2 linked regions of the Macaca fascicularis genome follow. The protein of the gene in region 2 purifies or fractionates together with the protein of the main gene of each other region. This does not show direct contact. Links are inferred from orthologs where the notes say so. Each region holds a gene or a part of one and is shown on either strand. Other genes may lie near its edges.

Evidence for each region. Proteins that work in one complex are often made in the same cells at the same time.
Region 1: the proteins of MED21 (region 2) and POLR2M purify together in Homo sapiens (affinity purification with mass spectrometry; 3 studies listed by BioGRID and IntAct, with this or other methods). This does not show direct contact. The link is inferred for Macaca fascicularis from reciprocal best matches to the Homo sapiens genes MED21 and POLR2M.

The regions. Positions count from the first base shown.
Region 1 is NC_088381.1:34,164,743-34,170,688, forward strand, and holds the start of POLR2M (protein GRINL1A), read left to right. Parts: upstream 1-2,443; 5' UTR 2,444-2,572; coding exon 2,573-2,685; intron 2,686-4,444; coding exon 4,445-5,092; intron 5,093-5,946.
Region 2 is NC_088385.1:29,775,058-29,781,097, forward strand, and holds the start of MED21 (mediator of RNA polymerase II transcription subunit 21), read left to right. Parts: upstream 1-1,985; 5' UTR 1,986-2,015; coding exon 2,016-2,057; intron 2,058-6,040. UniProt on the Homo sapiens protein: Component of the Mediator complex, a coactivator involved in the regulated transcription of nearly all RNA polymerase II-dependent genes.

The sequences.
Region 1 (5,946 bases), on a different chromosome or scaffold from region 2:
TTACTTTTGTTAGGCAAGGAAAAAGAAATCTTGATGCATAACACAATTAGAGAACTATAATATGTTTCATGCAGTGAGGTTCCAACTTTAAGCCCTATAGTTGTGCTCAAAAGAAAGAGAAATTTAGTTTGGAATAACCTAGGAAAGTTCAGGGAGGAGGTGAGACTTGAGCCAAGACTTATAATTGGCAAGGGGAGGAGAGACAGCCTTCCAAAAAAGGGTAACAGAAGGGGGCAAAATTCTGAGGCCTGAAAGAAAGGCATCCTTGCTTTGGGGACACCTGTGGCCCACAATCAGCGCCTGGGGAGTTCACTACTGTGGGGGAAATAAAGGCCTCCAGCTGGGGTCCAGGGTGGGGCAAAGGAGGCTTGTGGGGCTCTCACCACTGTAAACCAAAAATAAAATTTGAAGGCCCCCCTCAACCGTCTGAATGAACTTCCTCCTCTAGTCCAGGGTCCTCCAAATTTAACCTAAAAGACTGGCTTAGGCCATGATGGGAAGGGGAGGTCAGACATGCCTCATTATGCCCTTCTTTCTTTTAGAATCCAGGAAAAGCTGCACAGCATTTAATATCAACATCTACCTTAAGTCTGATAAGAAACACTTACAACTTACTTTCTCTGAAGCCTGCTAACTGGAGGCTTCATCTATATGATAAAACTTCGGTCTCCACCACTTCTTATGGTAACCTAGATGTTCCTTTAAATCAACTGCCAATCAGAAAAAAATTTAAATCTACCTATAACTTGGAAGCCCATCTTGCCCCACACCTGCTCTGCTTTGAGTTGTCTCACCCTTCTGGATTAAGCCAATGTTTATCTTAAATGTATTTGATTGATGTCTCATGTCTCCCTAAAATGTATAAAACCAAGCTGTGCACCGACTGCCTTGGGCATGTGTTCTCAGCATCTCCTGAGGGCTGTGTGATGGGCCATGGTCACTCATATCTAGCACAGAATACATCTCTTCAATATTTTATGGAGTTTTTTTTTTTTTTTTTTTTTTTTTTTTTGTTGACACCACAGACAACCAACTGACTCGAGGAGCTTACCTATTTCTCATTCAGCCAATGCTGGAGCAGGTTATTAACATCCTTGAAAGCAAGTCTTATACAGAGAAAACTTATTTTGATATACTAATGAATCTGATCTGAATGGACTAGATTGGGGGGATAAAAAAATGGTTGCAATTGTGCTCCCTGGAATAGCTTTGGAGTTTACCTAGATCTTCTGTCTCTTTGGGATGGAGCTGCTTGTGTTAATATAGCATCTTACATAGGATTGAGACAACTTCAATTTCCTATATAAAAAAATCGGGGGAGGGCAGTAGTTTTGGAGGTTATGGGGGTGTTCAAACCTCCCAAGTGATATCTGCTGTGACTGCATGTCTTCCTACTGTTTCCATTGGGATGCATCTCTGGTAGGTGAACTATAACAAGAAACTAAAAGCTGTGTCCAATACTTACTAAACTGTCTTCTTCTCAACAGCTGGGGGAAAGAAAAAAAAAAGTCTTTTCAACAATTTTGCACATTTGGAGATAGGCCTAAAGTGAAGAAGGGAATTTTCAAATTGGTGTGTTGGAAAAGCCGCTGGGCTTTTGGGTTTGAAATCTGGTGCTGTCACTTACTGGTTTTGTGCCCTGGGAATATTTATTTCAGTTTTCATGACTCTTTTTCTACAGGCAAAGTAGAAAATTATAAAAGGTCCTCAACCAGTTTGTACAGCTGCTCCCACTCCCTCATCACCTCTTGTGGGCCTTTGGAAATGTATGTTGGGGGAGACATTTTGGATTTTTGCAATTACTTGGGAGTGCCATGGCACCTAGCAGGCAGAAGCCAGAAACACCAAATGTCTTAACAATGCCTGAGGCAGTGCCACAAATGAAGTCCTGCTCCAAATGCAATGAGCCCCGAAAAGAATTGCTGATTCTAAGGAACCTTCCAACTTTAACATTTCAGGACGTCCCTAAGCTGAGCTAGGAGGCACCACACACAGGCCGGAGTCTCCCAAATCCTGTCCCGCACTCTCCTCTACCTTATTAACGGCCAACTCATCTTTCAGGTTTCGACTTGTATTTCACTTCTCAGAGATACCTTCCCAGGTGCCCACCCCAACGTCACTATTATATTATTATTTGATTCTCCGTCCCTCCGTCCCCCGCGCCAACTCTGTAAACCCCAACTATAACAGAGGACGTGGCTCTTTGTTGACTAACACATAGTGCTTGGTGAGGTCACGCTGGCGCCAAATACTTTTTGTATAAACCTATGAACAGCTGACAACCGGATGAACGCTCACACGAGGGGAAAGGGCGCCAAACCCAGGCGCCGGCGTCCTCCGACGTAATTTCCGTCCTTTAGCGCTCCTCCGGACGCCCCCTTCTCCCGGTCCGTGTTTGTTTCCGGCATTTCAATAAAGCTCGATTCGGCTCGAGGAAGACCCCGTTCTTCCGGGAAAATGGCGACTCCCGCTCGAGCCCCGGAGTCACTGCAGTCCGCGGATCCGGCGCTAGCAGCGGGGCCTGCCGAGGAAGCCGAGTGCCCGCCGCCGCGCCAGCCTCAGCCTGTGCAGAATGTCCTCGCTGCCCCGCGGCTTCGAGCCCCAAGCTCTCGAGGACTTGGGGCAGCGGAGTTTGGTGGAGCTGCGGGAAATGTTGAAGCGCCAGGAGAGACTTTTGCGCAACGAGTAAGCTGGGGTCCCGCGGAGTCTCCGCCAGGCTCCTTCAGCTCGAGCTCCCTGGGCGCTCCCCTCCCCTCCCCCACTCTGTTTCCTTCCCTGGAAGGTGACCTTGCCTCAGTCACATTCGCCTCAGTCCTACGGGCGAGTGGACGGAGGGCTTGCTGTCGCAGAGCCGTGCCTCTTCCTGGCCAGGCACGTAGGCCTGCGAGGATGGCTCGGACTGAACGGCTACTTATTGTTGCAGGCAGTTAGTAGCCCCTCGTTGGTTTTATTTGCCCGGGGACTGTGTTAGTTCCATGAAGCAAGAGTCTTCATTCTAAACCCTTTTGTCGCCCGCACCCCTAACCCATAACAAATTGTCAGCTTCGTCTCTGGATTCTACGCTTACAGGAACCGTAGGAAATGGGAAGAGTGGGATATGAAGAGGCGTTTATTAGGCCGGGAAAGTTCAACCCCCAGTCAGCTGGTTGATTTAACGGATTTTAGCAAGGGAGCCACGTGATAAAAGTGATTTTGTTTTTCAGGCAGCTTTGTTTAGCAGCTTGTTGCAAAAGATGGTTTGAAGGAATAAAAAGCGGGAGACAGTAGATGGCTATTTTCAGAGAGGCTCCCCACGAGACAGTTGTAAGAAAGTGAACTAGGAAGGGATTGGGAGAACTTTTAGGCATAGAGTCATTTAAATGTAGTTGACAGAGATGGCTGAGTTTTCCAATTTGTATGGAAGACCACTAGCAAAAATAGGAATATTCAGGGAGAGGAATAGATCCGTGGTTGATTTTACGTAGGGTGTTCAGAGTTGAGGGGAGAGCGGGACAGACATTTGACTAATTGAAAACCAAACACTTAAAAGCTGGAGAAGTTGTCATTAGGCTCAAGAAAGAGAGAACTCTGGAAAAATATAGAAAACATAGGAATTTCAGCTGTAGAGTGTTGTTAATAGTTGAAATAGTGGGAATGAATGTAGTGTCAAAAAGAACAAAGGACCTAAGATTTTTCTCTCCATTTATTGTATAATTAAAGAAAAGAGAATCAAAAAAGGAACTCTGTCATCTAGCAAAAGGGACAAATAAATAATTGATTGGGATCAAGGCAGGTGTTTTTACCTTGTGAGAATAGGTTTTTAATCTGTAGTAGTGAATTAACTTTTTGGTCTCAGGACTCCTTTATACTTTAAGATTTTTTGACATCCCAAAGAACTATTTTATGTGTTCTGTCTAGTGAAGTTTATTTACTTATCAGAAATACAGCTGAAGTCTTTAAAACATAAGCATACACAAGCACACATTCTATTCTAGAACAATGATGTCATCATATGTCATGTAGCCACTGGAAAACTCCGCCGTACCCATGTGAGAAAATGAGAGGGAAATAACATCTTAGTATTATTATGAAAGTAGTTTTAAAATAATAGGCCCATCCCCACACTCCACCCCATCCCCAAATTGTGGGGATTGCACTTTAATGACTGCTGGTTCTTAGAATGTCTTATGTGATTATTACATGCTTAAAATACTTTTGCCGAAATTCTAATTTGCTGAGACAAATGAGGCATATATTCCCTATTCCAGCATTCCCTTGTTTTTTTGTGCTGTTTGGATAATGACCGTTTTATTTGTTTTATTCCTGTTTTGGGGCAGTTAGAAATCAGATATTTGACTTAAAAATCAGCTTTTCTTTCTTTGAAGATAATGCTTTGCCTTTTTAATGTTATATGTCAAGTTAAAAACATGGCTGTAATGTGTATGTATTCTTTTCCATTTGACAGAAAATTCATTTGCAAATTGCCCGACAAAGGTAAAAAGATCTTTGACTCTGTTGCCAAACTGAAAGCTGCTGTTGCAGAACATGAAGAAGTTAGAAGAAAAAGTGAACTGTTTCACCCTGTTAGTTTAGACTGTAAGCTAAGGCAAAAAGCAATTGCAGAAGTTGATGTGGGTACAGATAAGGCCCAGAATTCTGACCCGATACTTGATACTTCATCACTAGTTCCTGGGTGTTCCTCTGTAGATAATATCAAGTCATCTAAAACAACCTCACAAAACCAGGGACTTGGACATCCTACTCATGAAGGTGATGGAGAGACTCCAGAGGTTGAGTACACAGTGATTAAGGGCCCAGCTTCCAGCAACAGAGACAGGGTACCGTCTTCATCTGAAGCTAGTGAGCATCACCCGCAGCGTCGTGTTTCAAGTCAAGCAGAAGATACTTCCAGCAGCTTTGACAACCTGTTTATTGACAGGTTACAGAGGATCACTATTGCAGACCAAGGTGAACAACAGTCAGAAGAAAACGCAAGTACTAAGAACTTGACAGACCTTTCTAGTGGGACTCAGAAGAAGCCTCATTACATGGAAGTGCTAGAAATGCGAGCCAAAAATCCAGTGCCCCAGCTGCATAAATTTAAAACCAATGTGTAAGTACCATCGGAAACAGGCCTATAACAGGAACATGATATTTGTTAAACTCAAAAAGTTAAGAGAAACTGGGTGTCGTGGTGCTTGCCTGTAGTCCTAGGCTACTCAGGAGGCTGAGGTGGGAAGACAGCTTGAGTCCAGGAGTTGTAGACCAGCTTGGGCAACTTATAATAAGACCTTTTCTCATAAATAAGGAGAATGCTCTAAGTTCCATGGGCTTTGTATGAGAACTACTTGTAGTTAGGAAAGAACATATTGTGGAAACACTGAGACCAGCCTGGCTGGAGTGGAAGGTTCATGCTGAAAAATATTTAGTTTTGAAACTAAGTAATTGACAGGGTCTTAAATAGCACTTGGGGGAATATTAAATTTCAGGACGCTTAGCCAATATTTCATAATAAACACAGAGTTGGAGAGAATTTATTATGACGTCTTTTTTTCAGAACTATTTTTTAGTGTACAGCTCTGATTAGTGTACTATCAAAGTGTACTCTCTTTGATTAGTCTGCGAACTAAGGGTAAAGCAATTGCAGGAGCTGATCGGCTTTCCAGCAAAAATTATTTGTATGCTCACTGAATGTAAGCAAGCAGCAGGTGTTGTGGGGACACAGTGAAGTCAAGATTCTTAAACTTCTTTGCCTTTTTGATGTTATACCTCAAGTTTAAAAACATGGCTGTAATGTATACATGTATAATGTAATACAACACCATGTTCTTCAAGGAGTTTCAGAGCTAGATGAGGACACAAGGTTTACACCCTTGGAAAAGAGTTAAGCTACATAATAACAGTTTCAGGGGGAAGGAAGCTGAGGAGAGTTTGAAAAACTGAAAATAGATTCAGGCAGGATAGGCA
Region 2 (6,040 bases):
TGCTGGTATCTCCGGGGTAGAGGACAGGGATGCTGCTAAACATCCTACAATGCACAGGTCAGCATCCCACAACAAAGAATAATCTAGCCTAAAGAGTCAAGAGTGCGGCCATTGAGAAATCCTGAGCTAGATGCACAGACTATATTTGGCAGGTGGGTTATTCCTGAAGTCTATGGCTTCAAGAGCTTCATAAACCCCTTTTCAAATGTAGGCTAAGTTGAGAGTCTGGTCTGGGGAAAGGGTCCACAGCTTTTATCTGATTCTTAAAAAGATCCGTGGCCAAAAGAGGCTGAAGAACCAGGAAAACCAAGGGGTCAGGGCCCTTGGCTGAAACAGAGGATTATTTCACTCAGAAAATTATCAAGAGGTGAGGCTGGGTCTGTTTGCTGGAGCCAGATTATAGTAAATCTTGACAACTAGGCAGAGATAGTTGGACATCAACCTGAGGTCTCTGTGGAGACACGGAAGACCTACTAGGAAGATAGTGGCAGGACAAAAACTGTGTCACAATATGAGTTGTCTTGAAGTGACTTCTCTACTTCAAGTGCCCAAGTTCCCTTCAATCACGCTGCAAAACTTAGTATCCTTACGGAGTGGACTAAACTGTATTCAATCAGTCACCAATCCGTATTAATTATTTTTCTCAAAAATATATTTTAGTCTTTTTTTCCTCTCTTATCAGGGTCAACACCCTATTCTAGGCCCAGCTCACCTTAATCTTGGACAACTGCAAAACCTTCCTCTTGGTGAGTCCTTGGCTTATTCATCTTTGCACACTGAGCACTGGATATACTTCCTGGCATGTGGCAGGCATTCAGTAAGGTACACGCTCAAGTGAAGGTGGGAGGAAAAGGTTGTAGATTCCCCCAAGTTACAGTTAGAACAAATTATGGAGTGATTTCTCATTAGTTCCATTATGGGGAGCATGCCTCATCCACGTTCTTAATGAGGCCCCAGTAAGTCTGTAGACTGTTTGGGGATGAGGGTGGGGCATGGGTGTGAAGCAGAAGTGGTGCTTCCCAGCAAGGGTTGGGATAAATCCAGCAAGCTGAGTTCCCCGGGGACTGTGTCCACCACCTACCCCGCAGCCGCAGGAAGGTAATCACGGATAATCAGCCTGAGAAAGAGGATATGAGAGTTTGTTTGATGTCTCCAAACCTGTTATTTGCCGACTCCAAACTCATTTCTTACCAGACTATCCTCAGGCTAAATTTCCTTAAATACCAAGTTTCTATTATCACTCTTCACACTTAAGCTCTCAATAAGTCCCAACTCTAAATCTAAATTGTGCAGCTGATTTTTCTTGGCTGGGCGCGGTGGCTCATGCCTGTAATCACAGCACTTTGCGAGGCCAAGGAGGGCGGATCACGAGGTCAGGAGACGGAGACCATCCTGGCTAACACGGTGAAACCCTGTCTCTACTACAAAAAAAAAAAAAAAAAAAAAAAAAAATTTAGCCGGGCGTGGTGGCGGCGCCTAAAGTCCCAGCTACTCGGGAGGCTGAGGCAGGACAATGGCGTGAACCCGGGAGACGGAGCTGGCAGTGAGCCAAGATCGCGCCACTGCACTCCAGCCTAGGCGACAGAGCCAGACTCCGTCTCAAAATAAATAAATAAATAAATAAATAAAAATAAATAAATATATCTACTCTTCAATGTAGTCAATAAGTAAACACATGAGAGGATAGGAGAAATCACTAAAAAAAAAAAAAAATCCCCGCTGAATCCAACGATCTCTGAAGCCTTTAACACCTAACAACCTCAAAGAGAGTATTTCAGCCCCTCAAAGCGATGGACCCCAGGCCGCTCCCCAGTTACTCAAAAGATCCAGCCTCTCCTCTGGTGTAGCCCGCTCTAAGGCCGCCTCGGCAGTACCACCCACTCCTGACGGGCGGGGAGTTCTCTCCGACCCCACCCCTTCCAAGAAGGCAGCGCTGGGATTGGCCATGACGCGTACCAGAGCTGCCCAGTCGCGGAAGAGCAGCTGTTTTGGCGTCGGTTTGCTGCGGGAAGAACATGGCGGATCGGCTCACGCAGCTTCAAGACGCTGTGAATTCGGTGAGGAATTTCATTCGATTAGCCTCTGTCTTTCTCTTTCCTGAGGTAAAGCAAGGGAGAAAAGGGGCCCAAGAGGCAAAACTTGGAAGTGGAAAGCGGACTGAGAAACAGGGCTTCGGCATAAAGCGCTCTCTCGGGAGGCGCCACCGCGAACTCGGAGGTGTGAGGCCGGCTGCCGGGCGGTGCTTGAAGGTGCGGGAGGGAGCAGCCTCTTTCGCTTGAGGAGACCGGGAAGATTGCTCTTGTCCGGGTGGGGCCGCCAAGACTTGTCGGCTGCGCGGTCCTGTCGTATTCCCTGAGGACAGTTTTATTTTCTTGGCAGCGGTGCTTACATCTCTCTTTTGGGGGTTGGGAGGAGAAGCAGGAGCTCTTTTCTTTCCTCATCAATTTGAATCCACCAAGGGAGATCTCGTGCTGTGGATGACTGGGTTTTTGTAATGAAATGCCAGCCGAGAGTATTCCTTCACCAGCGCTTTCAGGTTGGTGCGGAGCGACGCTGAGGCGAGAGATTTTTCATCTTCGCTCCTTCCTGTGGGCCCAGAGCCTCCTTCCATCTCTTGTCTCTTGGCCACCCCTCAGAATGCATCAGTTTGGGGACATCTTTATGATAGGAAATCTTCTGATTCTCGTATGTCTTTCCGTTTATTTGAGTCTTTCTTTTTTCTTTTCTTTTCTTTTTTTTTTTTTTTTTTTTACTTTGGAGACTGTGTCTGTCGCCCAGGCTGGAGTACAGTGGTGCCATCTCGGCTCACTGCACCCTCCGCCTCCGCCAAACAAGTAGCTGGGATTACAGGCGCCCTCCACCACGCCCGGCTGATTTTTCTATTTTTAGTAGAGACGGGGTTTCACCATGTTGCCCAGGCTGGTCTCGAACTCCCGGCCTCAAGCGATTCTCCCGCCTCGGCCTGCCAGAGTGCTGGGATTACAGGTGTGAGCCACCGTGCCCGGCTTACAAGTCTTTTTGAACGTCTCCCCCAAATTCTACGCTCTATTAAAGGCCAAGTCTTGTAGGTAGCTCCCCAGCTTTGTTCCTTCTGGTAATTTTTCCTCCAAGCTATGCCTGAGTGGAAAGCAGAAGCAAAGCCAGAGGATGCGCATACAGTCATGGGCCCTTAATGAAGGGGTTATGTTCTGAGAAATGCATGGTTTCGGCGATAACTTTTTTTTTTAATAAGTAGAAGTACAATGTATTATAACGATGAAACAGTAAATACATAAACCAGTAACAAAGTCATTTAGTATCATTATCAAGTATCATGGACTGTACTTAATTGTATGTGCTAGACTTTCATACACTGGCAGTGCCGTAGGTTGCTTTACAGCAGCGTCACCACAAGCACAGACCGCTATGATGTCACTAGGCAGTAAGAATTTTTCAGCGTTGTTATAACCATAGGGGACCGACATAATATATGCATCCCGTTGACCAAGACGTCAGTGGGTATTCTCTTGCTGCAATGGGTATACTTATTACCATTACCAGTTACATAGTTTTCTGTTAAATAGTTTTCCATTGATAGTTATGTTTCTCATTGTCTGATTGTGATTTAACGTCCTAGATAAGGGACTAGAGAGAAAACATGCTGAGAGGAAAACCTAAGTACCTGGTTTCTTTGCCAGTTTTTTTTCCTCACTGTAAGCTAATAACTTGGCATTTTTCTTAATACATCAGGCTTTGTACACTTGAAGAGTGTGAATCTACTTGTGATAAACTGATCTACCCTGGGTGAATAACACTAGTTTTTAAGGCTGAGAGGACCAGCTTCTAAATGTTGAATTCACCAAGATAAATTCTGCCCTGCAGGGACTTGCCTGAGCTGCCAGTCAGCCTTCCTCAGGGAACTACTCCTTTGAGATTTTACAAAATCAAATTGTAATGATGCTGCTGGATAGAAATCTTATTTTAGGGAAACTTTTGCATATTCATACATGTCTTGTAACTAGAAGGATAGTAAGGACAGAGTGAATATGGCCTTAACTCCAGGTTAGGCGTACTGATAATTGGATTTTGGAGAAAAGCCTTTAGGATAACTAGTATGAGTGCCTACTGTGTATAAGCACTATCATGTTTGCAAAGAGATACTCCTTAAGGAGGTTAAAAAAATGTCATATACTCAGGAGACATTTAAGTGATGGAAAAACAGTATGTGGTTAGGGAGTTATAATGAATTGAGTATTTTCAGCTTTAGGTTCTGAAGTAAATTGGAATATGGAGTGATGTGAACCAAAATAGAGGGAATCTTCTTAGCATTTATCCTAATCAGATTTGTATAACTTTTAACATTTGTTCTACCCTCTGAAAACCATGAGTGCAGAAGCTATGTCGCATTCACTATGTCTCTATAGTGTTTAAATGTAGTACTTGTCATAGTTATTTTCCATAAAGTTTTGTTGACTGAATGGATCTTAAAAGTTTTTTTTTTTTTTTTGAGACGTAGTCTCTCTGTGTCGCCCAGGCTGGAGTGCAGTGGCCGGATCTCAGCTCACTGCAAGCTCCGCCTCCCGAGCATTCGCCTGCCTCAGCCATTCTCCTGCCTCAGCCTCCCCAGTAGCTGGGACTACAGACGCCCGCCACCTCGCCTGGCTAGTTTTTTGTATTTTTTAGTAGAGACGGGATTTCACCGTGTTAGCCAGGATGGTCTTGATCTCCTGACCTCGTGATCCGCCCATCTGGGCCTCCCAAAGTGCTGGGATTACAGGCTTGAGCCACCGCGCCCGGCCTAAAAGTTTTTGAAGGATGGAACAGATAGACACTGTGTTGAATATTTTGTGTATTTCCTCTTCCTCACAACAATGCTGTAATAGGAGAATGTATCCAATTTAAAAATGAAAAATGCTACCTGGGTTAATAGAGCTGGGATCTACGTTTGTATAGCGTCTGAGCACTTATTGCTCCATTACTATTATTAAAACCTGGGCAAAGCCATTTAGTCATAAGTGACTTTATGACTAGTTAGGTAAATATGAAGGAGTAGTGGAAAACAAGTCAGTAGAGTTGACTTAGATTGTTGAAAGCTTCAAAACAGCCTGAGTTGGAGGTTTACCTTGAAGACAGTGGTGGAGTAAGCTCAAATGTTTTTATCAGGGTAAAATAAATAACCTGGTGAACTGGCAAACAACAAGAAGGCTATTGTAATAATTCTGGTGTGAGATAATTGGTTGAACTAAGCAACAATAATGATAGAAGGAAAAGAGGAAGATTTGTAGTATTAGCATAATTTGAAGATCAAAGGAAAGCAAGAATCTGAAGTTAGACTGGTTGACTAGGAGACTTTCAATACAAATTAAATATTAAACAGAGGAAACAGTTGCCTTTGAGTTCTGTCATTGAAACAATGGCAGAGAAACCCAAAGGAAATGCTTATTAGAAATAGGAGGTTTGAGAGGTCAAGACTAGGTGAGAGAAATTGGTGGGGAGGATAGGTGTATTTAATTTGGAGATGGTAAGGAATTGATATTCTCCATCTTTAAAAGTACTTACGGAGTACTTTTAGAGTACAAGAGTTTAAAAATTGAGTCTTGAACAGATACATTTCTGATTACTCAAGGTGCTTTTCTGAGCAGCCTTTTCCCCACTATTTTTTTTACACTTATAACTACTCCAGTCTCAGAAAAGGAATCATATACTTTGTGCATGAGTAATAAATTTTTATTAAACGTGATGCCATACTTAGATATTTACAAGTCAAATTTGCTCTTTTCCATCACTGTCCGCAAAAAGTCTTTACTTGTGGCTTACAATAAGTATTGGCCAGTGTTCTCTTATCATTTTACTATAACAAGAAAAGAAAGATTGTTTTGTATTTCAACTGTTCCAACTAGATTTATATCAAATTTTACTTCACCTAGATTGATACCAAACTTAGTTTCTTTGCAGAATTAAAACATGTAATCAACTGGCTTATTTTATCAACAATTACTCCTTTCTGTTTTATTCCCTTGCTCAGAGATTAGCATTACAGAAACTTATTGTTGTTGCTGTT